Linked DNA regions of Rattus norvegicus. The protein of the gene in region 1 binds, or shares a complex with, the protein of each later gene. Links are inferred from orthologs where the notes say so. Each region holds a gene or a part of one and is shown in the gene's direction. Other genes may lie near its edges. The genes, in order: Cnot10, Cnot2, Cnot11, Cnot7, Cnot9 and Cnot8.

The links.
Region 2: Cnot10 (region 1) and Cnot2 share a complex: the UniProt entries of both Homo sapiens proteins name them as parts of the CCR4-NOT complex. The link is inferred for Rattus norvegicus from reciprocal best matches to the Homo sapiens genes CNOT10 and CNOT2.
Region 3: Cnot10 (region 1) and Cnot11 share a complex: the UniProt entries of both Homo sapiens proteins name them as parts of the CCR4-NOT complex. The link is inferred for Rattus norvegicus from reciprocal best matches to the Homo sapiens genes CNOT10 and CNOT11.
Region 4: Cnot10 (region 1) and Cnot7 share a complex: the UniProt entries of both Homo sapiens proteins name them as parts of the CCR4-NOT complex. The link is inferred for Rattus norvegicus from reciprocal best matches to the Homo sapiens genes CNOT10 and CNOT7.
Region 5: Cnot10 (region 1) and Cnot9 share a complex: the UniProt entries of both Homo sapiens proteins name them as parts of the CCR4-NOT complex. The link is inferred for Rattus norvegicus from reciprocal best matches to the Homo sapiens genes CNOT10 and CNOT9.
Region 6: Cnot10 (region 1) and Cnot8 share a complex: the UniProt entries of both Homo sapiens proteins name them as parts of the CCR4-NOT complex. The link is inferred for Rattus norvegicus from reciprocal best matches to the Homo sapiens genes CNOT10 and CNOT8.

The regions. Positions count from the first base shown.
Region 1 is NC_086026.1:123,158,175-123,160,671, reverse strand, and holds the end of Cnot10 (CCR4-NOT transcription complex subunit 10), read left to right. Parts: intron 1-329; exon of another isoform or gene 330-715; intron 716-1,566; coding exon 1,567-1,721; 3' UTR 1,722-1,997; downstream 1,998-2,497. UniProt on the Homo sapiens protein: Component of the CCR4-NOT complex which is one of the major cellular mRNA deadenylases and is linked to various cellular processes including bulk mRNA degradation, miRNA-mediated repression, translational repression during translational initiation and general transcription regulation.
Region 2 is NC_086025.1:54,105,161-54,109,460, reverse strand, and holds the start of Cnot2 (CCR4-NOT transcription complex subunit 2), read left to right. Parts: upstream 1-1,500; 5' UTR 1,501-1,889; coding exon of another isoform or gene 1,890-1,894; intron 1,895-2,148; exon of another isoform or gene 2,149-2,799; intron 2,800-4,300. UniProt on the Homo sapiens protein: Component of the CCR4-NOT complex which is one of the major cellular mRNA deadenylases and is linked to various cellular processes including bulk mRNA degradation, miRNA-mediated repression, translational repression during translational initiation and general transcription regulation.
Region 3 is NC_086027.1:49,313,624-49,317,123, forward strand, and holds part of Cnot11 (CCR4-NOT transcription complex subunit 11), read left to right. Parts: intron 1-1,948; coding exon 1,949-2,151; intron 2,152-3,500. UniProt on the Homo sapiens protein: Component of the CCR4-NOT complex which is one of the major cellular mRNA deadenylases and is linked to various cellular processes including bulk mRNA degradation, miRNA-mediated repression, translational repression during translational initiation and general transcription regulation.
Region 4 is NC_086034.1:58,495,882-58,498,543, forward strand, and holds the end of Cnot7 (CCR4-NOT transcription complex subunit 7), read left to right. Parts: intron 1-575; coding exon 576-704; 3' UTR 705-2,162; downstream 2,163-2,662. UniProt on the Homo sapiens protein: Has 3'-5' poly(A) exoribonuclease activity for synthetic poly(A) RNA substrate. Its function seems to be partially redundant with that of CNOT8.
Region 5 is NC_086027.1:83,553,869-83,557,368, forward strand, and holds part of Cnot9 (CCR4-NOT transcription complex subunit 9), read left to right. Parts: intron 1-7; coding exon 8-106; intron 107-614; coding exon 615-706; intron 707-2,128; coding exon 2,129-2,297; 3' UTR 2,298-3,500. UniProt on the Homo sapiens protein: Component of the CCR4-NOT complex which is one of the major cellular mRNA deadenylases and is linked to various cellular processes including bulk mRNA degradation, miRNA-mediated repression, translational repression during translational initiation and general transcription regulation.
Region 6 is NC_086028.1:42,781,058-42,785,045, forward strand, and holds the start of Cnot8 (CCR4-NOT transcription complex subunit 8), read left to right. Parts: upstream 1-1,188; 5' UTR 1,189-1,228; intron 1,229-1,244; exon of another isoform or gene 1,245-1,370; intron 1,371-2,463; exon of another isoform or gene 2,464-2,537; intron 2,538-2,671; exon of another isoform or gene 2,672-2,697; 5' UTR 2,698-2,793; intron 2,794-3,988. UniProt on the Homo sapiens protein: Has 3'-5' poly(A) exoribonuclease activity for synthetic poly(A) RNA substrate. Its function seems to be partially redundant with that of CNOT7.

The DNA.
Region 1 (2,497 bases):
ATACTGTCTGTTTTCAGACACACCAGAAGAGGGCATCAGATCCCATTACAGATGGTTGTGAACCACCATGTGGTTGCTGGGATTTGAACTCAGGACCTCTGGAAGAGCAGACAGTGCTCTTAACCACTGAGCCACCTCTCCAGCCCACATGAAGTTTGTCATGAGCAGCTGACTGACTCTTAATTGAGAACGTAGACCACGGTGCTGCTTGCTTGGAATTGCACAGCGCAGTATTTTTGTTTGGTTGGGTTTTTTTTGTTTTGTTCTTTGTTTTTTGGGTTTTTTTTTTTTTTTCTTTTTTTTGGTTTGGTTTGGTTTGGGTTTGTTTTTTAAAAGGATCTCTGGCAAAGTTTTATTAAAGGAAAACTTTCTTGTTTACTTCTCTTCTCACCGGTCTATTCTGGCGTGCTTTTAATAATATGAGAATCACCTGGGTCACTGACAGCCAGTGTGCATACTCTGTAGTATTTTCCACACGCTGTGCCCAATTCAGTGTTATTGCCACTGTGCTGATGGACACCAGTTTAAGCCAACGTGGCATAGTACTCTATTTCAGATTTCCTCAAAGCTGGGCAGTTGCTGGTGAGGATAACCAGGTTGCCTTGTCTGATCGTCTTCAGATCTGTCTGTGCCCCAGCACGTGCTTGCCACTTTTCATAACAAGCTGGAGCCTAGAGTTGATGGACTCCAGAGACTTTTTCGTCTTTTTTTTTTTAATTATTTTATGTATATGAGTATACTATAGCTTCAGACACTCCAGAAGAGGGCATCGGATCCCATTACAGATGGTTGTGAGCCACCATGTGGTTGCTGGGGATTGAACTCAGAACCTCTGGAATAGCAGTCAGTGCTCTTAACCGCTGAGCCATCTCCCCAGCCCACTTTTTCCGTCTTCTTTGCAGCCACCATCTTCTTGCCTTAGGTGCGGGACAACCCCCAACCAAGATCAAACGCCAAGATGGCTGGGGAGCGAGAAAGGGCTGGTTGTTATTTTTTTATCTGTTATTTTTATTCTTTTGTGTTTGTAATGGGTTCCACTATGTTGCCCTGGCTGGTCTGGAACTTACTGTGTAGACCAAACTGGCCACAAACTTATAGATCCAGCAGCCTCTGCCTCTTAACTAATGTATGTGATTAAATGTATATTCCACTGCTCCACACGCATTTTACAAGAATTGTCAAAAAAAAAAAAAAATCAAAGCCAGGCACTTGGGAATTGAACCTGGGTCCTCTGGAAGAGCAGCCTGTGTTCTTAACCTCTGAGCCATCTCTCCAGCATCTTCTGTTTTTATAGTTGAAGAGACTAATTAAATGCCTGGCACTCTGAGGGCCTGGCTGACTGAAAGCCAGGATGTCTATAGGAGGTGGTAGGCCTGAATCCCTTGAACCCCTTCTGTTGTACAGCCTGCCTGAGTTATAAAAACTTGTCTGGGCATCAGTTCCTCGTCCAGCTGGGGCAAGAGAGCAGAGCTGTCTAGGACTCCGTCATCTCCTTTTCAGGCTTCTGTCACCTTGCTCTGTACAGTGCTGTGTGCCTGCTCTCTTTAATGGACTGTGTTTCTCTAGGTAACACGCAGCTGGCCTTGCAGATGATCAAACGGAACCAGCTGCTCCCTGCAGTAAAGGCGCACTCCGATGTGAGGAAGAAGACAGTATTCCAGCCTGTGCACCCCATCCAGCCCATCCAGATGCCGGCATTCACCACGGTACAGAGGAAGTGAGCGCTCGCTGTGGAGGAGCTGTACCTGAGGCCCAGGGCGTGTTGAGGGCCTCTCAGTTGTCCACAGGAAAGGCAGTAGAGGAAATACAGTGGCAACAGTGCTGGCCGGAAGGCGGTTTGAGACGAGTGCACCCCTCGGTTTTATGGCAGAGGCTTACTTAAAACTAAGGACTCATAACCCACTGTCAGCTTTTATTTAATCTCTGCAAGTCTTTTAATTGTGAACCATTGTGTTGGTATGTCTGTGTCTAGGCATTAAAACATGTTCTTATCAGAACAGTTTTGTGGTCTGTTTTGAAATAGTTTAGCAACTGATTTATTGTTAAGGTTGAAAAGAAAGAACTAACAGGGGCTGGGGATTTAGCTCAGTGGTAGAGCGCTTACCTAGGAAGCGCAAGGCCCTGGGTTCGGTCACCAGCTCCGAAAAAAAGAACCAAAAAAAAAAAAAAAAAAAAAGAAAGAACTAACAAATATCTGCTCTAAGCATTTCAGAAGTTCTTCTTGGGGTACAGGAAGTGAGGTAAACTCATGCTCACCTCCAGGGTCTGTCTTTTTTTTTTGTTGTTGTTCTTTTTTTTCGGAGCTGGGGACCGAACCCAGGGCCTTGTGCTTCCTAGGTAAGCACTCTACCACTGAGCTAAGTCCCCAACCCTCCAGGGTCTGTCTTAGTCACTGCTCTGTTGCTGTGAAGAGATGCAAAAGGGAAGCATTTAACTGGGGCTGGCTTACAGTGGCAGGGTTAGTCCAGTACCATCGTGGCAGGGAATTTGGTGGCAC
Region 2 (4,300 bases), on another chromosome or scaffold:
AATGTTAGGTCATTCATTGAATGCTTTCCTAGCATTCCAGTTCCACATATTAATTTGCTCCACACATTAATTAAGAAAATGTTATCTCACCTAGTAAAACCCAATCATAGTAAAACTCAGACCTTCTCCACTGAAAGCAATTTTTAAAACTTGGACAAAAATGTGTTAAGTTAATATAGGTAAGAAGAGTAATGAATTCAAATATTTAATGTTATTTAATGTGATAATGCTACTATATACACATAAAGGGCTCCAAATAATTAGTAGCCAGATTAAGGTGCTCTGTATTACATGCATTCATACACAAGAACTGTACGTGCCTAGAGGTATACTCAGTCTTTGAACACACTACCTTACAGCAGTAGATGTTAACTTGAGAGGAAGAGAAAGCAGAAGAGATAGGAAAGCACTCTTGGGGGAGGGGCCATATAGGACTGTGTAGTTCCTTCTTGAATTTCCCTGAAGTAAAACCAAAACAAAACACAAAAGGGTAAAATGGAGTATTTAATGAAAAACCCAGCAAAATAAACCTTTTCTATTTGGCTATACCAGTTCCTGTTGATATTTAAACAAATTTACATATCTACTGTTATGCATATTTGCTGATAAACCAAAATACCTTCAAAACCTTGACAAAAGTACTTTTAATTTCATCTTGGGTTTTATCTTCCTTTTTCTGGCCTTCAACTATGATAAACCGAAGTGATATATATTGGTTGATTGGGGTGGGGGATGGGGCTGGAAGAAGGTAATTTTAAAAAAATAAAACAGCAGAAATTTTATTTACTTCAAATTAGTAGTAATCCACATTAATAAGTTCTACCACTCAAACAGGAATAGCAATGCGTTATGAAACTAGTAACTTCAAAACACACAGAGGCTTTTTTCGCAAGTTTAGTAACCATAAAACACGAAGTTTATGGATGTTCAAAGGAGTAAAGTAAGAGTATTACAGCAATGAAAACGAATTTTACTTTCAGGGATTGCACTGTTTTGGAGAACAAAACCCTGGAAGTTCCCACCACAGCCACCGTATTTTCAAAAGGTTTAGTGGATGAGCCAGCTGATCACTAAGGTTTACAAAGGGCGCGCCGGGCGGGAACTAAGTAAAATGCCATAAACATCGGACGGTTAGATTAAGCCCTCCCCGTGGTGCTTTAAAAACACGTTCCCCTTACTTCCTCTCACCAGGTTTGAACCGAAAAAACATATGAAAAGGAAGAGGGGGGGCGGCGATCAGACGCCCAGGTTCCAGCGGAGGGGAACTCACTGCTCAGGGGGGTGCCGGCGGCGTGCGGCGGGTGTTTGGGGGTGCGCACCCGGGAAGCGCAGGCTGCGGAACGACGATTGGACCTGAGTACCGCTGCCACTGCGCCGGCAGGTAGTAGTAGCACTAGCCCGGGGACAGACTGCAGGAGGTGCTCGGGGGCGGGGTGTCCGACGAAAACACAAACACAAACACGCTGTGCGTCCCCAGGTGGGCGGACCCACGCTGCCTCAGCATTTCCCCGCCCCCGCCCCCGAGGCCGCTCTCGGACCCCAGGCCGCAGCTCCTGGTGTGGCGGTCTGGCTTGGGAAGCCCGGCGAGGCCTCGGAGGCCCCACTTTCCGTAATCGCCACAAGGCAGCGCCGCACCTCCGCGGGAGGTGGCGGGACGCCTGGCGGAAGCCCGGGAAGGCTCCTGAGGAGCGCCGTGCTTCTCACCGTCGACCGGCGTTCGGGAAACACTCTGTCCTTGAGGCGAGCATCGCTCGCCACCTTCTGCCGCCGCCTTAGAGCGAAGTCGGAGCGACGGGGGTCACGGCGGGGGTCAGAGGGTAAAGGTCTTGCTCCCAGCAGCCTCCGCGGTGGATACGTCGCCATCTTGGATCCGCGGGACAAGAAAATTCATGCGGTGAGTTTTTGGCAAATTTTCGGAAGTCTGGCAGCGGGGCGCGCGGCGGGGGAGGCGGATTGAGGGCCCCCTCAAGGCGGGGGAATGCCTCGGGGCTGGTCCGGTCGCGCCCGGGGTCCGCGGGTAGCGTCCCGGCCCGCCGCTTCCCGTTGCTTTTGTCTCGGCTCCAATCGAGAGAGGGAGAGCGGAGCGGGCGGGGAGGGGGGTGGCGGCGCTGGAGGAGGGAGGGGGTGTGTGGCGGGGTGGACAAGACGTAAAGCGTCGCCGTGCTCGGGCCGCCGCCGCCGCCGCCGCCGCCGCCGCAGCCGCTGCAGCTCCGGAGCCTAGGCCCGGTCCTGGCTGCCCGCGACGGGGCTTTCCCGGTACTCCGCTTCCCCGGCTCCCGCCGGCGCGGAGCAGCCACTGCCGCCGTGCTGCTTCCTGGGGTAGGAGAGAAGGCGGCAGCGGCAGCGGCAGCATCCGAGGAGCCCCGGCCGCTTTAGACGGCTCTGCCACGTTCCCAGCAGCTGCTGGTCCTTGAATCTTCCCATTCTGGCAATACACGCGCATCCTCCGCCACTTGTGTGTTTTTGTTTGTGTAAGATGGGGACATCGCACTGGCTAACGGGCCTCAGGAGCCTCCAGGCCCTGAGATACCGAAGGGCCTTGCAAGGTAGAGGGAGGAGAGCAACTTAAGATGCTGCTTCTGCCACCGTACCCGGAGAGGGAAGCTTCTCTTGTGGTGTAGACTTGAGTTCGGATGGTCCTGGGGCAGCGGAGGAGGAACCGGAGACACTCTGAAGTTGCAAGCCCTGGTTTCTACTTCCGCCGGGCCCTCTCTACCTTTTGCTGTTTTAGGTCTTCACTTCAAAGTTTCATAGAAGAAATAAGTTGGGTTAAAAGAAACCCGATAGTTCTTAATTGAGGTACTGTTTGCTTAGGAGAAAGCTTAGAATCCTTGTTATCTGTAGGCCCTTAGGGGAATCTAATTGTACTTTTCTTTTCGTAAAATTATTTCTAAGGTTTTGTTTTTTGCATTTACTTTAGACCCCATTAGTATGTTATTACTTCCAAAAATATCTTACACACTTTCTTGGAAATCCTAGGGGACATCTCCACTTTTCAGCATCTGGAAAAACAAGTGTTAAGAGTGTTTTGCTTCATTTTCATTAAATTCTTAGCCAAGAATTTCTCTTTAATCATCTGGACAGTTCCTAATAAAATATAGCAATATGATCCTTAGATTCTTGGCGAATGGTAGAAAGTATGATACTGAGTTAACCAAATCTGTTCACAAGGGAGACATTTGATGTTCAAAAACACATTTTTCTATTATTCTCCATAGTGAGAAATTTTAAGGAGATGGAATTGTGTTCTTATAGATTTCCCTTTCCAAACAAATAAGTGAGGGTAATTTATATGGAGCGAGTGGGATAGAAATTTAAACTTTCACAACAGTTTATGTTTGGAAATGCTTGGCATATTCAACACAGTTCCTTCTCAAAAGTCACCTTTGTAGTTTTATAAGGTATTTTATTCCAAGTTGGAAGTGTTGTTTAAAAATCCAGTACACTGAAATGACTGTCTACATTCACATATTGTCTGTGTTGAGGTTTTGTGTCTTTGATATGTTTTCTTAATGATCCAAGATCATTAACAAGGATCCTTATGCTCTCCTATCTAGTCTGTTGTTATCTTAAAGCTAAAGGAAAAGTTCAAAATGCACAATTTCTTTTACTTTTCACTTTTACTGACTTTGCAGGATCCTTATTTTTAAAATGGAACCTTTTCATTTTTTAAAAAGTGACTTTTTTCTAAGTATTTTATAACTCTAGACCAGAAATAAAAACTGTATTTAGCTTTTTTTTCTTTGCATTCCTGTTAATGCTTTACTAATATACAGAAGTTAAGGTAGTGCATGTGTTGACAGAGCACTTGGGTTCTAAGATACAGTCTAGAGATATCTGTAACCCTACCAGATGCTAGAGGCTGAGAGTCATCTGCACATCAGTAAATGCAGCCTTTGGAAAATTCTGTTTCTAAAGTGCTTTAAAATAAATTTGTTTGGTGGAAAATGAAGCAGATTGATGTCTGTGAGTGGTTTTTATCCCAGCCATCTGAGAACTCTTTGATTTGAAAATGAAATCAAGCTCCAAATGATATGCTCCCTAAAATAATAATCACCTTTATTTTCCCTATATAAAGGTGGGTGCTTTTTGGTTTTTCAGAGATGCCTTAGATTTATTAAAACTTCAAAAATAAATATTTTATACTGCTGGTAAATTAGAAATACCAGTAATCCTTCTCTGCTCATTTCTTTTCTTTTTTTTTTTTTTTCCCCCCGGAGCTGGGGACTGAACCCAGGGCCTTGCGCTTGCTAGGCAAGCTCTCTACCATTGAGCTTAATCCCCAACCCTTGCTCATTTC
Region 3 (3,500 bases), on another chromosome or scaffold:
GTTTGGGTTCAAACCCAGGAGTGTTTGTGTAAAAGGAAAGGATGCCACAGGTCAGCCATGTCTCCAGCCCCCTAGATGAGTCTCCCTAACGTGTGTCCAGTGGAGGTCCTTTTATACCTAGTAGTCTTACCATCTCCATCCGTCTGTCTGACCATAGCTGACAGTCCTTACTCTGCTTTCCCTGGAAACCAACCAAACCAAACAGAAACCCACGGGTACCATCTGGGTGGTTTGAGTGATGAAGACGTTCTGCATAGGGGGTAGAGCATCATCCCCTGGTCACAGGACGTCCAGGATTTTGAAGCGTACGTCAAATGTGACTTCCATTCGGTGTAATCTCTGTGGCATAAGAGGGTTTACTGTTTGCAGTTTCAGCTCATTACAAGCCTGTCTCCAGTTATGTGGTGGTTTGGTTTGTACAGGATTTCTCTAAGTAGCCCTGGCTATCCTATAACTTACTCTGGCCTGGAGCTCAGAGATCCACCTGCCTCTGGGTTTGATTGCATGGACCATTGGTCAGCTATGTGCATAACTGAGCATAGCTGCACCTCAGCATCCCTACCTCTCAGGAGAAGTACTTCCTTGTGCTGAAGGCTCTTTGTGAGGAGAGGTAACGGGAATTCACTCTGGTGATGCTGGTGAGGGGACCCTGGAGATAATTGGCTTGGTGATCCTTTGCCAGGAACAAGCCAGATCTCCACTTCGGCTGATAGTGGGATCCATAATACAATGAACTACCTTCTGTCCTGTGTGGAAAATGCTCTCCGGAAGGCTGTGATGGGACTGGGTAAAATCAAGCAGGGAGAGGGAGTTCTTGTACCCCAGTGTAGTGGAAATTACGAAGTTCTTATCTCCTGGGCCTTTTGTGGGGCTTAGCAGGCAGGCAGGATGCACAGCTGGATAGAGGACTGGGTGTCTATCGTGTTAAATACTGAGATTTATAGTAAAGTTGTCTTATTGTGCGTGGTTGTTTGTGTATAGCACTGTGGGTCACTGGAGTTAGGCTGCATGTGTTATATATAAGAACATAATACACCACTGGGGCAAGCTGTGTGTTCAGGTGTTGTCAGATGAGGTCTCATTGTGTAGCTACTGAATGAAGGACAATGTTAGTTCAGAAGTACTGATGAGTTACACATCAACCTTGAGTTGTGGGGATAGCCCCAAGCACGATGTATAGCATTCTGAGACCCTAGGGGCCAAAAAAAGAAAGGGGGTTGGGGGGCTCATAAAATTTTAATTTTATGTTAGGTATGGTGACAATACCTTTAGTCCCAGCACTTGGGAAGCAGAGGCAGGCAGATCTCTGTGAGTTTGAGGGTAGCCTGGTCTACATAGTGAATCCCAGGATAGTCAGGGACATAATGAGACTTTAAGATAACAATCAAGGGTTGGGGATTTGGCTCACTGGTAGAGCGCTTGCCTAGCAAGCGCAAGGCCCTGGGTTCAGTCCCCAGCTCCAAAAAAAAAAAAAAAAAAAAAAAATTAGGAAAAAAAAAAAGATAACAATCATAATCATCAGCCAAGTTGACATCTGCGTCCTCAGCCTAAGTGGATATGCTTGCATTAAAACTTAATTCATGGGGTTGGGGATTTAGCTCAGTGGTAGAGCACTTGCCTAGCAAGCGCAAGGCCCTGGGTTCAATCCCCAGCTCCGGGAAAAAAAAAAAACAAAAAAAACCTTAATTCTTTCTAAAAAACAGATTTGGTATCTGGCATCATGCTGGTGTGTGTGTGTGTGTTTGTGTGTGTGTGTGTGTGTGTGTGTGTGTGTGTGTGTGTGTGTGTGTTGGTTATAATTTGAGCAGAACTCTGATCTTATATTATTACTATTTGAAGCATGTTTTATAATGTGTCCTTGTTAAAGGCATTCTTGTACTTGATTAAATGCATATAGGGTGTGTGTAAATGTTAGCTTGCTGATAGTCTTGTATTACTCTCATTATAGGTCATTTTCGCCCAGAGTTCATCCGCCCACCACCACCTCTCCACATCTGTGAGGATGAACTGGCCTGGCTCAATCCTACAGAACCCGAGCATGCCATTCAATGGGACAGGTCAATGTGTGTGAAGAATAGCACTGGTGTGGAGATCAAGAGGATCATGGCAAAAGCCTTCAAAAGCCCTCTGTCCTCTCCCCAACAAACACAGGTATGTATGGATTACACTATCCCATCTGTGCTCATCACAGTTTTCTTCCCAGGAAGTAGTAAGTGGGCAGTCAGTTGTTGATGTGAACCAGCAGGAGCAACAGAGGTCTTCACAATCCCAGCCGCTGTGTTGTGACCTTTCCTTGTTTGGCAGTTTTGCTCCGCTGAGACAAGAGGTCTAATGACTAAAAATGTCTAGACTCTTCCATTTTGTCTTGGAGAGAGGTAGGAGAGGGCGAGTGTCAGTCGGGCACATCATCTGCATTACTGCATCAGGCTGGACAGTGACTCTGGATGGTGTATGGGGTTACTAGTGTTTTATAAAAAAGGAGGTTCAGGGAATGCTCTAGACATTAGCTACAGTGTTTAATGGTAGACTGAGGATATCTTTCCTGCTACCCAAAGTTACAACTAGATGGATCCCCTGAGGAAGCAGAGCAAAGATACCAGGTGGTTGTAGATTTTGTTAGATTTTCACACTTTCAAGTTAGAACTGATAGGAAGACACACTTACCTCCAAGCTAGTTTTTTATTTAAAGTACAGATTTTTTTTTTTTAAAGATTTATTTATTTTTTTATACATAAGTACTTGCTGTCTTCAGACACCAGAAGAGGGCATTAAATCCCATCACAGATGGTTGTGAGCCACCATGTGGTTGCTGGGAATTGAACTCAGACCTCTGGAAGAGCAGTCAGTGCTCTTAACCACTGAGCCATCTCTCCAGCCCCTAAAGTACAGATTTTTTAAAAAGTTTGTTTTATACACATGGGTGGTTTGTCTGCATGTATATCTGTGTACCATGTGCATGCAGTGTCCACAGATGCCAGAAGAGAGCATCATCCTCTGGAACTGGACTTAGTGATACTGTGAGCCTCCATGTGAGTGCTGGGAACCAAACCCTGGTCCTCTAGAGAGTAGCAAGTGCTCCTGACCACTGAACTATTTCCTGGCCTCCCCACAAATATTTTTAAGTGATGTGATAACAGTTGTAGTCTGTTGCTCTTAGATGATCATGAAATGGTCCAGTGTTGAATACACAAGTAGGTAAAAGGAGATAGAGTTAGAAGGGATGGGTGTGATGCGTGCCTGCAACCCCAGCACGTGGGAGACAGAGACTGAGACTCAGCAGTTACAGGCCAGGCTCCACGGGATGAGGAGCTCAAAGCCAGCCTCAAAATAAATGGACTTTTAAAAGAAAGAAAAAGTACATATTTGGACAGAGAGAAAAAATGTTTTCCCACCTCTTGGATTTGCAAAGCATGGGTGTGTTTTGAGCCGTGAAGTACTGCAGGTGGAGGACGGAAGTGTTGCCTGTTCTGTCCCTCTCTGGGGCGCTTGGGTAAGACAGG
Region 4 (2,662 bases), on another chromosome or scaffold:
CGCAAGTAAATTGTTTAGTTTCAATATAGAACCACCTTTTGGATTTTTATTTTAAAAATGCCTTATAGCTAGTTAATGGTGAGTTTCTGGCACCAGTTTGTTAGCTTTATTGCCCTTGGCTTCAAGGCTGGCAATGTAGTGAGAATGTTCAGGTGTTTACTATCTATAACATGTTTAGGGTTTGGTTAATTTTAATCAATTCAGCCTTGCACTTAGACTTAAGACAACTTAAAATGGTGTAACATCTCCTCTTCTTCTGCCATTATCTCTCTCATTCTTTGAAGGTTGTTATATTAAAGAAATTAAACGGTCTGCATGTTTTTATGCTCATAAATTCTCGTTAAGATGAAGTAAATGTTAATGAAAAAGAAAGACTTGCATTTTAAAGGGTCCTTGAGCCCTGTAGTGAAGGGCGTCAGTCAGTCTTATTCGTTAAATATGCAGTATAGCTTCTCCAGGGAACATCACGGGAAAGAGTTGTTCTACCTAATTAATAGCAATTACAATGTTGAGATATAAACTACAGGTCATATCATTTGCTTAAGATGATTTTTTTCTTTCGATTTTATTTTTAGATGTTCTTTGAAGATCACATTGATGATGCCAAATACTGTGGCCACTTATACGGCCTTGGTTCTGGCTCATCCTATGTACAGAACGGCACAGGGAATGCATATGAAGAGGAAGCCAGCAAGCAGTCGTGACAGGAAATAGTCTTCTTATTTTTATTTTATACGAGTTACACACATGCTTGTATATAGGTTTTATCATCCCTTAAATAATAGGCAATACCTGCCCCTCCTTTGGTAGCCCTTCTTTTCTGCTTTCAGTAATAAGTATGGCCTTTCTTAGCTATGATCTTAATAAATTAAAGTACATTCAGGTTAAATCTGGCCTTAATTTAATACACCTCTTATCAAGCTTGTGTGACAAAGCTACATTACTGAATAATTTGACAAACTTTGCCTACTTGAGCTTGGTTTTGTTTTTCCCTTTCCTAAATTAACTAGCATTGACTGTAATTTATTTCCCTCTTCCGTGCCTCTCCTCCTATTCTGCAGTACTTATAGGTATTTAAGATTGTGGACCATCAAGTTTGCACTTTATAGAGTGATTTCAATCCTCTATTTTATCAGAAATTGTGATTTTTCTTGCTCTTAGCTAGAAAAATGACCATCCACCACCTTTTTACAGTATTTGCTTGTTTTTGACATTCAGAGTACAGCACGTGCATTGTGCAAATTGTTGATTCAACGGGACTAACAAGAAGACAAGGAACTACTGAAGAGCCTAGTAACTACTGTTTCTGTGTGTAGTGTTTAACCTTCCGAACACATCTCCTGTCTGTTGGTTTCTAATTGGCATGCATAGGCTGCTATGTGACTGAAGAATTTCAAACCAGCTTTACACCCTTCAGGAAGAAGCCCTTGCGATTGGAGGTTTCCACTCTGCCAGAAAGAAACTGGCGTTTAAGATGTGGAACTACAGTTTTATGACAGCAACGCTTCCCTTGACCGGCTTCCTTTTACTCCATCACTTTTACCCTTAATGTTTTATTTTATAAACATATTTATGATGTTCTTGATTTGTTGACTACGCAAATCAATTTCATTAAAGTCCAAAGATAACAAGTCTTTAGGTACATTTTATATCAAATTAAAAATACAAAAAAAAATGTGATTTCATAAATGCTACAAAAATAAATAATGGAGAGATTTGGTGCAAAACAACAAAATGCAAAATATATATATAAATACACACATATAGCTAATAAAATTACCTGAGGAGTGTAATGCTTGTTTATTTTTTTGTGTATATCTTTGCAATCTATTTTATATATATTGACAAGAGACTGTGAAATATTTAGCCATGCAGAATACGTGACCACACCAGAGCATGTGTTGGAAGATTTTGGTGAACATTAACTCTACCCTGAAGTGACGGACTACAAGTTGTAATGTGTGTTATCTACACTTCAATCAATAATATTAGAAAGTCTCCAACTGTTAGCAACACAGTTCATTTCCCTTGTACATTCTGTATACATGATACGAAAATGCTGTACCTGGGCGGTCCTTTTTAAACTAAACATTATTTGCAAAACAGAGGGTATTATTTGTTTTTAAAGCTTTTGTAAATAAAGGCTTCAAGAATGTTTTCCTATATATTTGTGACTGGTGACTTTGGTTTTGAAGCATGCACTTAGAAGTGTTGAATACTTGAGGCATTTTCTCTGGGAACAGGATTTGGTCATGCTTCAGTACCTGGGGTGGTGTGTGTGTGTGTGTGTGTGTGTGTTTTCAATAAATTGGTCTGGTTTTTTAGTGTTTAAAGTTCCAGTAAGCTAGCAAGTGCAAGGCCCTGGGTTCGGTCCCCAGCTCCGAAAAAAAGAAAAAAGAAAAAAAAAAGTTCCAGTAAAGCCATCTGGTCCATAAGTAAATTCTCCAGCCTGGGTCTGGGCCATAAAACAAGGCATGCTGTACCCTTTATATCAACTGTCTTCTCTTCCTTACCCTGACTGAAAGAAGACGGGGTGTGGAGGCTCACATCTCTAATCCTGCTGTTGTGACTGTCCTAAGTCATTATTCACTATGTTGGTGAGTTCAGCTGCACTCCCTTGCAAAAGAATCTTCCCAGTTGAGCTTTTTATCTGATTACATCC
Region 5 (3,500 bases), on another chromosome or scaffold:
ACTCCAGGTTGCCACATTCATCCTCCAGAAGATCCTCTTAGATGACACTGGTCTGGCTTATATATGTCAGACATATGAGCGTTTTTCCCATGTTGCCATGATCTTGGTGAGTTCTTTCCTTTACTCTCTTTGCAGTTTATTTTGATCACAAAGCTTAGTCATCTTGTAACTGGTCAAAAACTTAGTCTTCTAACTAGAAATAACTGTTCTGGCCAGGTATGGTGATATATGCCTGTCATTCCAATATCTATAAGGCAGAGGGAGGCAAAAGGATGAATGTGGACTTGAAGCAGCAGCGTGGGTTTCTCACCAGCCAACTGAAGAAGTAGTGTCCTATCCCCAAAATACTAGCTGGAGTGATAGTATATGTCTTTAGTCCCAGAACTCTAGAGGCAGAGGCAGGCAGATCTCTGTGAGTTCAAGTCCAACCTGATCTATGTAGGGAGTGCTTAACTGGCCAAGGCCACATATAGAGACCCTGTCTCAAAAAGGAAAAAAAATCTCAAGAACTTTAAAATGATTCTTAGATGATCTGATTTCTGGTGTCAGTTCAAATTATTTTGTGACTTTCCCCCACATTTTTTTTTTTTTTTTTTTTTTTTTGGGTAAAACAGGGTAAAATGGTCCTGCAGCTATCCAAAGAACCATCTGCCCGTCTGCTGAAGCATGTAGTAAGATGTTACCTTCGACTCTCAGATAATCCCAGGTAAAGATTTAACAGGATTCACAAGATTTGGGAGAAATAGTCTCATGAATGGATTCTAATGTTACGGCTCAGACCCTCTGTCTTGAGTATTAGAACCCATATAACTTTAGTTTACCTAAGAAAAACTTAAGTTCCTGTTAAAATCTAAAATTCTGACTTTAAAGTGCACTAGTGGGCTGGAGAGATGGTTCAGTGGTTAAGAGCCCTGACTGCTCTTCCAGAGGTCCTGAGTTCAAATCCCAGCAACCACATGGTGGCTCACAACCATCTGTAATAAGATCCGATGCCATCTTCTGGTTTCTGAAGACAGTGACAGTGTACTCACATCCATAAAATAAATTAAACTTTGTTTAAAGTGCACTAGTTAGATCTTCCTGTTGTAACTCTGTTCTACCCTGAAATTCCCAAAAGCCCAAGCAATTTCAAGGGAGGCTAGTGCGGTTTGGGCTTTCTATGGCTACTCCAAGTACTCAGAGTACACTTTAAGGTCTCTGCAAAGTCCTGTAGCCTAGAGGCTTTTTTAGCTTGCAGTTCTCTGCTTCCTGTAAACTATGGAGCTCATTACTTTTTCTTGGTAGGTTCAAGAACTCTGCCACAGTCGTGTACTTTGTAGATAGATGTAATGCACTTCAGAAATGTTTGACCTTTTCTCCTGTTAATACATAATTTATGATGAAATCTACATGTTCAGATTCTGCTAAGCCACATAATGGAGTGCTTTCTGAGTTCCTAAGAATCAAGTGGCTTGACTAATGTGAACTGGTCTGTAACCACTGGAGTTATTTGAGCCCTAGCTATTCTTTGATCATTTTGTCCTTTTTTTTTATACCCCCCCACCAGTTTGCAATATACTTATTAGAAATTAACCTGTTTGAGTCTAAGAGCTGAAACTGTGTAGAACAGCTCTGTATAGAGTTGGTATTTGCTTATTTTAGGCTTCTAGATTAAAAACTGCTACCATAGTTTTTACTATTTTTTATTAAGGTTTCAGATACAAAGTTGAAACATTTCTGTAAAACCATAACTGGTGTTAGTGTAAAATTAAAATCGGTTTATCATACAAATAAGGTCATATCTGCTGTTAGTATACAATTTTTTAAATAATTTCATTTCTCAAACTATATCTAATGGTATTTCGACAATATTTATCAATAAATCAGAACAAAGTTTGGAGTGAAATGAACTATTGCATCATATTATTCCATTTTGCTTTTGCGTGAAATTCTGCATTGGGGTGTGGTGAAAATATTTGTGGACTACATAGCACCTACTTTAAGGAATTCTAATGGTTTCTTGGTATAGCTTGATAGCTATAGATTCCTAGGAAGTTGCATGTTTATATCTAAGAAAGGGGGTCTTCCCAGCCCCCAAATGTGGGCTTATTTGTTGTCTTTCTGGTTGGTTTGTTTGTTTCTGATGTAGGGCACGTGAAGCACTCAGACAGTGCCTCCCTGACCAGCTGAAGGACACAACCTTTGCCCAGGTGCTAAAAGATGACACCACCACCAAACGCTGGCTTGCACAACTGGTGAAGAACCTGCAGGAGGGCCAAGTCACCGATCCCCGGGGAATTCCCCTGCCCCCTCAGTGATCCTCGACATTCCCTCTCACTACTCCCCTACGTTGGGGAGTAAGGGTGGAACCTATGAGGAAAACAGCTCAGGTTTTATTGCCGACTGGGAATAGACAACCTCAATGCTGAACTGTACTGGAGAAAAGGGGCAAGGTACCCCACTGAGGTGTGTGGGCTGACTGGAGGTCCTGGATCCCCCTACTGCTCCCAGGAATTGGGCTCCTGACAGCAGTCTGCTACCACAGCCCCAGGAGGGTGTCAACACCAGCAAATGCTGTATTTGCAGCATGCCCAAGATGACCCTGCTCCCCAACCTCTGCCTAGCCACTGGTAGAGAGAGGAGAGGTGGTAATCACAGTAACACTGTAGGCATGGAGAGCACCTGGGACCAAACCATGTGGCTTTTTTTTAAAAAAAAAAAAACAAAAAACAAAAAACTTTGCCTTCCTGGACGACTCAAGGTGTGTCTCTTAATTCTCTCTCACACAGTATTTGTTTACTTTGGATTTTTGTTTTTAATCTCAAAAGAGAGAGATGTGTTTAATGGACACAAGCTGTAGTTTTCAGCAAAACTTTGTCAGTTGGCACTGTTTACACGTCTCTTAGCTGCATAAGCTCAATAAAAGTTGGTCTGGGCATTGCATCCCCTCGGGCAGACCGATGGCGCTATCAGGCTGTTGGGTGGAATGGGAGGCAGGGGAAGAGGAAAGCAAAGCCAAGCAAAAACACTACCAACCATTCCCCTCTGCCCCTGTTGTTTCCCTCGCAAGCCTGGCTGCTGTGAGGACATTCACTTTGGCTCTGGCTTCGGCTGCTAGCCCACCCAAATCTCAGCGCTTGCCCCTTTCCTACCACTTAGACTTAAAGCAGGCGTCTTAATTTACCCAGCCTTCCTTAGAGAGTTGTACTGGGGTGGAGGGAGGCAGTTCTTCAGGTTCAAGTCTTCACAGGTAGTTTCCAGGTGTCTTCTCAAATGGAACAAGCACCTAGATCCAAATGGGGCCCTGACCCCGTTCTTCTCGTGTGGGTTTCAGTAGTGCCATCTCCTCATGATTATACTTGAAGCAGTATTAGCTGAATGAGTTTTTTCAGAGTTAAACAGCTGCACTCTGCTGTCTCAGTCCCCTCTCCCTTTAACACTTTCTTTGGTCTATGGAAACTACAGGGCTACCACTGGAATGTTTTTTACTTGTTGATAGTGTCAGAGTTCCCTTTCCATCT
Region 6 (3,988 bases), on another chromosome or scaffold:
GGTCCCCAGCTCCGAAAAAAAAAAAAAGAACCAAAAAAAAAAAAAAAAAAAAACACTTCTGGGGCTGTAGAGATGGCTCAGCGGTTACGAGCACTGACTGCTTTTCCAGAGGTCCTGAGTTCAAGTCCCAGCAACCACATGGTGTCTCATAACCATCTGTAATGAGATCTGATGCCCTCTTCTGGTGTGTCTGAAGACAGCTACAGTGTACTTATACGTAATAAACAAATAAATAAAAGTTAAAAAAAAACTTCTGGAATAAAAGTTTAACATAAAAAGGGCAGAGTAACTGGGGGATGGGACGTCAGAGGGGGACACCTGCTGTCCGCCTACCTACAGAGCCCCTTGGAGAGGAAGCACCAGGGATGGAGGCTGGAGCTGCGCTAGAGGAGGAGGCGGTCCTCAGAGGCCTTAGTCTTCTCGCCGCGTGGGAGAGCACGAGATGGCGATGCATCCCAGCATGGCCTCGCTGCCAGCTGAACCCTCTCCGGGACTGGCCCCTCTCTCTGCACAGGCCCGGGTGCAGCGCTGCTTATGCTAGCTGGTTGCCAAGACAACGTTCCGTCTAGGTCCTGGGAGGCAGTGCTCAGCTGACCTCAGTTAAGACTTAATTTGGTGGCGCCCCCCAAACCCCCACCTAATGGCCATTCAGAAGGGGTTCTATGGATAGATGTTCTCTGAGTGAGGAGTTCAGGTCGCAGTAATCGAGGGTCAGGACACCCCATGTTCCCTGCACCATCACCTCCAACCAATAGTCCTAATACGCCCTGATGTCAGGAAGTGGGGCCAACTCTAGATTCCGTCTTCTCCCGAGGCGCGACTTAGGATATTTCAGAACCCAGAAGGGGATCCAATTTACACAGCTTGACGCCGTCTGAGGCCGCAGGGCATACCTCGTTTTGCGCACGCGCCCTCCGAAAACCCTAATTTTCTCGTTCTGCGCCTGCGCAAGAAGGCGGAGCGCGTGTATCTGAGCGCGCACTGGGGGAGGAGCCGAGACTGGCGGGCCCGCGCACGCCTCGAGTGACGCGAAGAGTAGGCGAGTCGGGAGGGCCGAAGGGTAGAGAGGCTCAACCTTCTGGTTTGTTGCAAATCGTAGGCCGCTCTGGGCTCCGGGGCTTGCGTCTCATTGTCGTGTTGGGTTCCTGGAGCGGATCCGGGGCAAGAGGGAGGAGAGCTCGGGGTCAAGGGCCGCTGCCGCCCGCACTCGGCGGGGCCGCCAGCCAGGGTAAGCAGGCTGGGTTGCCCAGGGTAGGAGCTCGAGGCGGAAGTGCCTCCGTGGCGACCCATCCTACACACGGGAACACTGAGGCTAGGGGGGCTCTTGGTCCCCTAAGTCCAGCCTGGAGGCCTAAGGAGGCGGGGGGAAGGCAAGAGGCCTCTCTGCTTGGATCTTGGGGTGCTGCAGCTTTGCGTGGCAGAGCCGCTCTCGGGTAGCCAGCAAGCTGGATGGGGTGCCGTCTGAGTTCAGGGCTGTGGCCTGGAACGCTCCAGAGGGGACCTGTTGCCATTTCTTCTAACGGGCCGCTGCTTCCTCCTTCGCCGGTCTTGCTCGGCTAAGCCTTTTGTTTAGTCTTCTGGAACAGGGAAGTGAAGCTTTTTGTTTCCCAGACGCTCTGGCGAAAACAAAACCAGACAAGTAGGAGACACTCAGCTGAACTGTCTGCAAGGCTAGCAAGGAGAGCATGTTTCTTGAGCTCTCACTTGCTTGCACTTCTTGCACTACTGCTCACCTGGGTGCACAGAGACCCTGCTCCGAAGTTTGGATAATCAGGAGCGGTTTCAATCAGGAGATTGTTTTGCTCGCTCGCATACACACACACACTCCCCCCCCCCTCTCTGTGTCTCTGTGTCTCTGTGTCTCTGTGTGTGTGAGAACACAGGGCAGGGTGTGCGTGTGTCTGTGGTGTATGTGTGTGTGTGAGAACACAGAGCAAGGTGTGTGTGTATGTATGTGAGTGTGAGAACACCTTTTGCTTTGCAGTTTCAAATGTAGCTGGATTGGGGATCAAGTTTTAAAGCCAGCCTGTGAGGCAAACATTACATGGGATCAAAATTTTCCTTTAAGGAGTTGGAGAGATCGCTTAGGTGTTGATGCACTCAACCCTTCTTTCACATACTCATAAATAAATGGAATAAAAATAAATCTTTAGAGGAGAATGCAGCCTCAACCTCTGAACCTTCCTGAAGAACTTTGAAGGATTTTTTTTTTAGGGATTAATGTTTATTAGTGTATGAATTTGCAATTAATGCCATGTGTGTTGGTGGCAAAAATAGGCCAAAAAGGTGTCAACGTTCTCTGGAGCTGGAGTTACAGGCATTTGTGAGCCAACTCACATGAGTGCTGGAAACCAAACTCTGGTCTGCAAGAGCAGCAAGTGCTCTTAACTGCTCAGCCATTACTCCAGCCCTCATTCTGCTTTAAGCTTTATTATTATTATTATTTTTTTTTTTTGTTCTTTTTTTCGGAACTGGGGATCGAACCCAGGGCCTTGTGCTTTCTAGGCAAGTGCTCTACCACTGAGCTAAATCCCCAACCCCTTTATTATTATTGTTGTTGTTGTTGTTGTTCTTGTTATTATTGGTGTACACATGTGCCAAGTTGCATCATCATCATCATCTGTGTGTACACATGTGCCAAGTTGCTCAGCTGGCTCACTGACTGGTTTAGTTTGCTTTCTTTTCTTTTAAAAACAGGGTCGCAGCTGGTTGTGGTGGTACTTGCCTTTAACCCCAGCAGTTGGAGGCTGAGGCAGTTGGATCTCCGAATCCAAGGCCTGTTTGGTGTACACGGTGAGTTCCAGCACAGCCAGGGCTACAGAGAGAAACCTGTCTCAAAGGACAAAACAGAACAGTGAAATAAAAGCAGGGTCTCCTCCAACTGGCCTGGTGACTCCTTTCTCAGCCTCCTGAGCGTGGGATTGCTGTCTTATTTCTGAGTGTATATAGCTCAGGATGCCATTTTTTTTTTAAGTCGTGAAATTCATTATTGCTCTTCTGGTTGTAACCTAAATAATGAGGTTACTTCAGGGGCTGTTATACTAATAACTGTACTTGAAAACATAGACTCACTTCATCTGAGGTATGGGAAAGAGAGGCTGAAGAAAAGAAGTGTGCTGCTTCTTAGAGCCTGGGCTCCCTGGGTGGAAAGTGGAGGAGGCTGGTTGCCTGTGTGGAGTTGCTGTTTTCTCTCTTCCCTGTGGCCAGCATGCCAAAAAGTTCACTTGCTTAGTAAAATGTGCCTTATGTGATCTCCCTTGTACGTCTGCAAAGGATCCCTTGTGGATCTATCTGAATTATAGGGTCTGAAGCCAAGGCTGATCTGGAACTTTCCAAGTTTTAGCACAGGCATCCTCTTCATTGGAAAGGATCTGCCTTTCCTGGGCTGAAATCTGCCGATCGTATCTGCACAGATTTGCTAGGGAAAGGTTTGCTGCAGGGATGACTTGTGTGTCTTTGCCAGTGTCTGCTCCTGTGTGGCTGCCCTTTACCTGATAATAATGTAACAGTAGCTTTGAAAGTGGTTGGCTTCCCGAAACAAACTCTTTCTTTAGGCAGTTTGTTTCTTTATGCCTGTGTTTTAATGGAAACAACTTTCAGCAGTCCAGGACTGACACCCACTTCCCTGCTATGTAGTTTATGGCTTGCTTAGGGAAACAAGGTTGTTGTTTTCAGTAACCAGACATGGGAAGTGACTTCAAGAGCCAGGTGCAGTGGCTCATGCTGATAGCTGCAGCACTTGGGAGGCAGAAACAGGAGGATTTTTACAAGTTCAGAGGCCGGCCTGGAGAAGTCTGGAGTAAACATTTTCTCAGTTGTCAGGAAGTTGAATTTACTGGGCATTCATTGTGAGTGAGCATCTTTCCTAGTCTCTGCTAGTTCACTTGCCAGCCTTTATTAATAAAAGAAAAACCGGAGAAGAAATGGATTGTGCCTTCAGGAGGCAGCTGCCACATGTTTCTTTATGTTGAGAGCCACCACTCAGTGT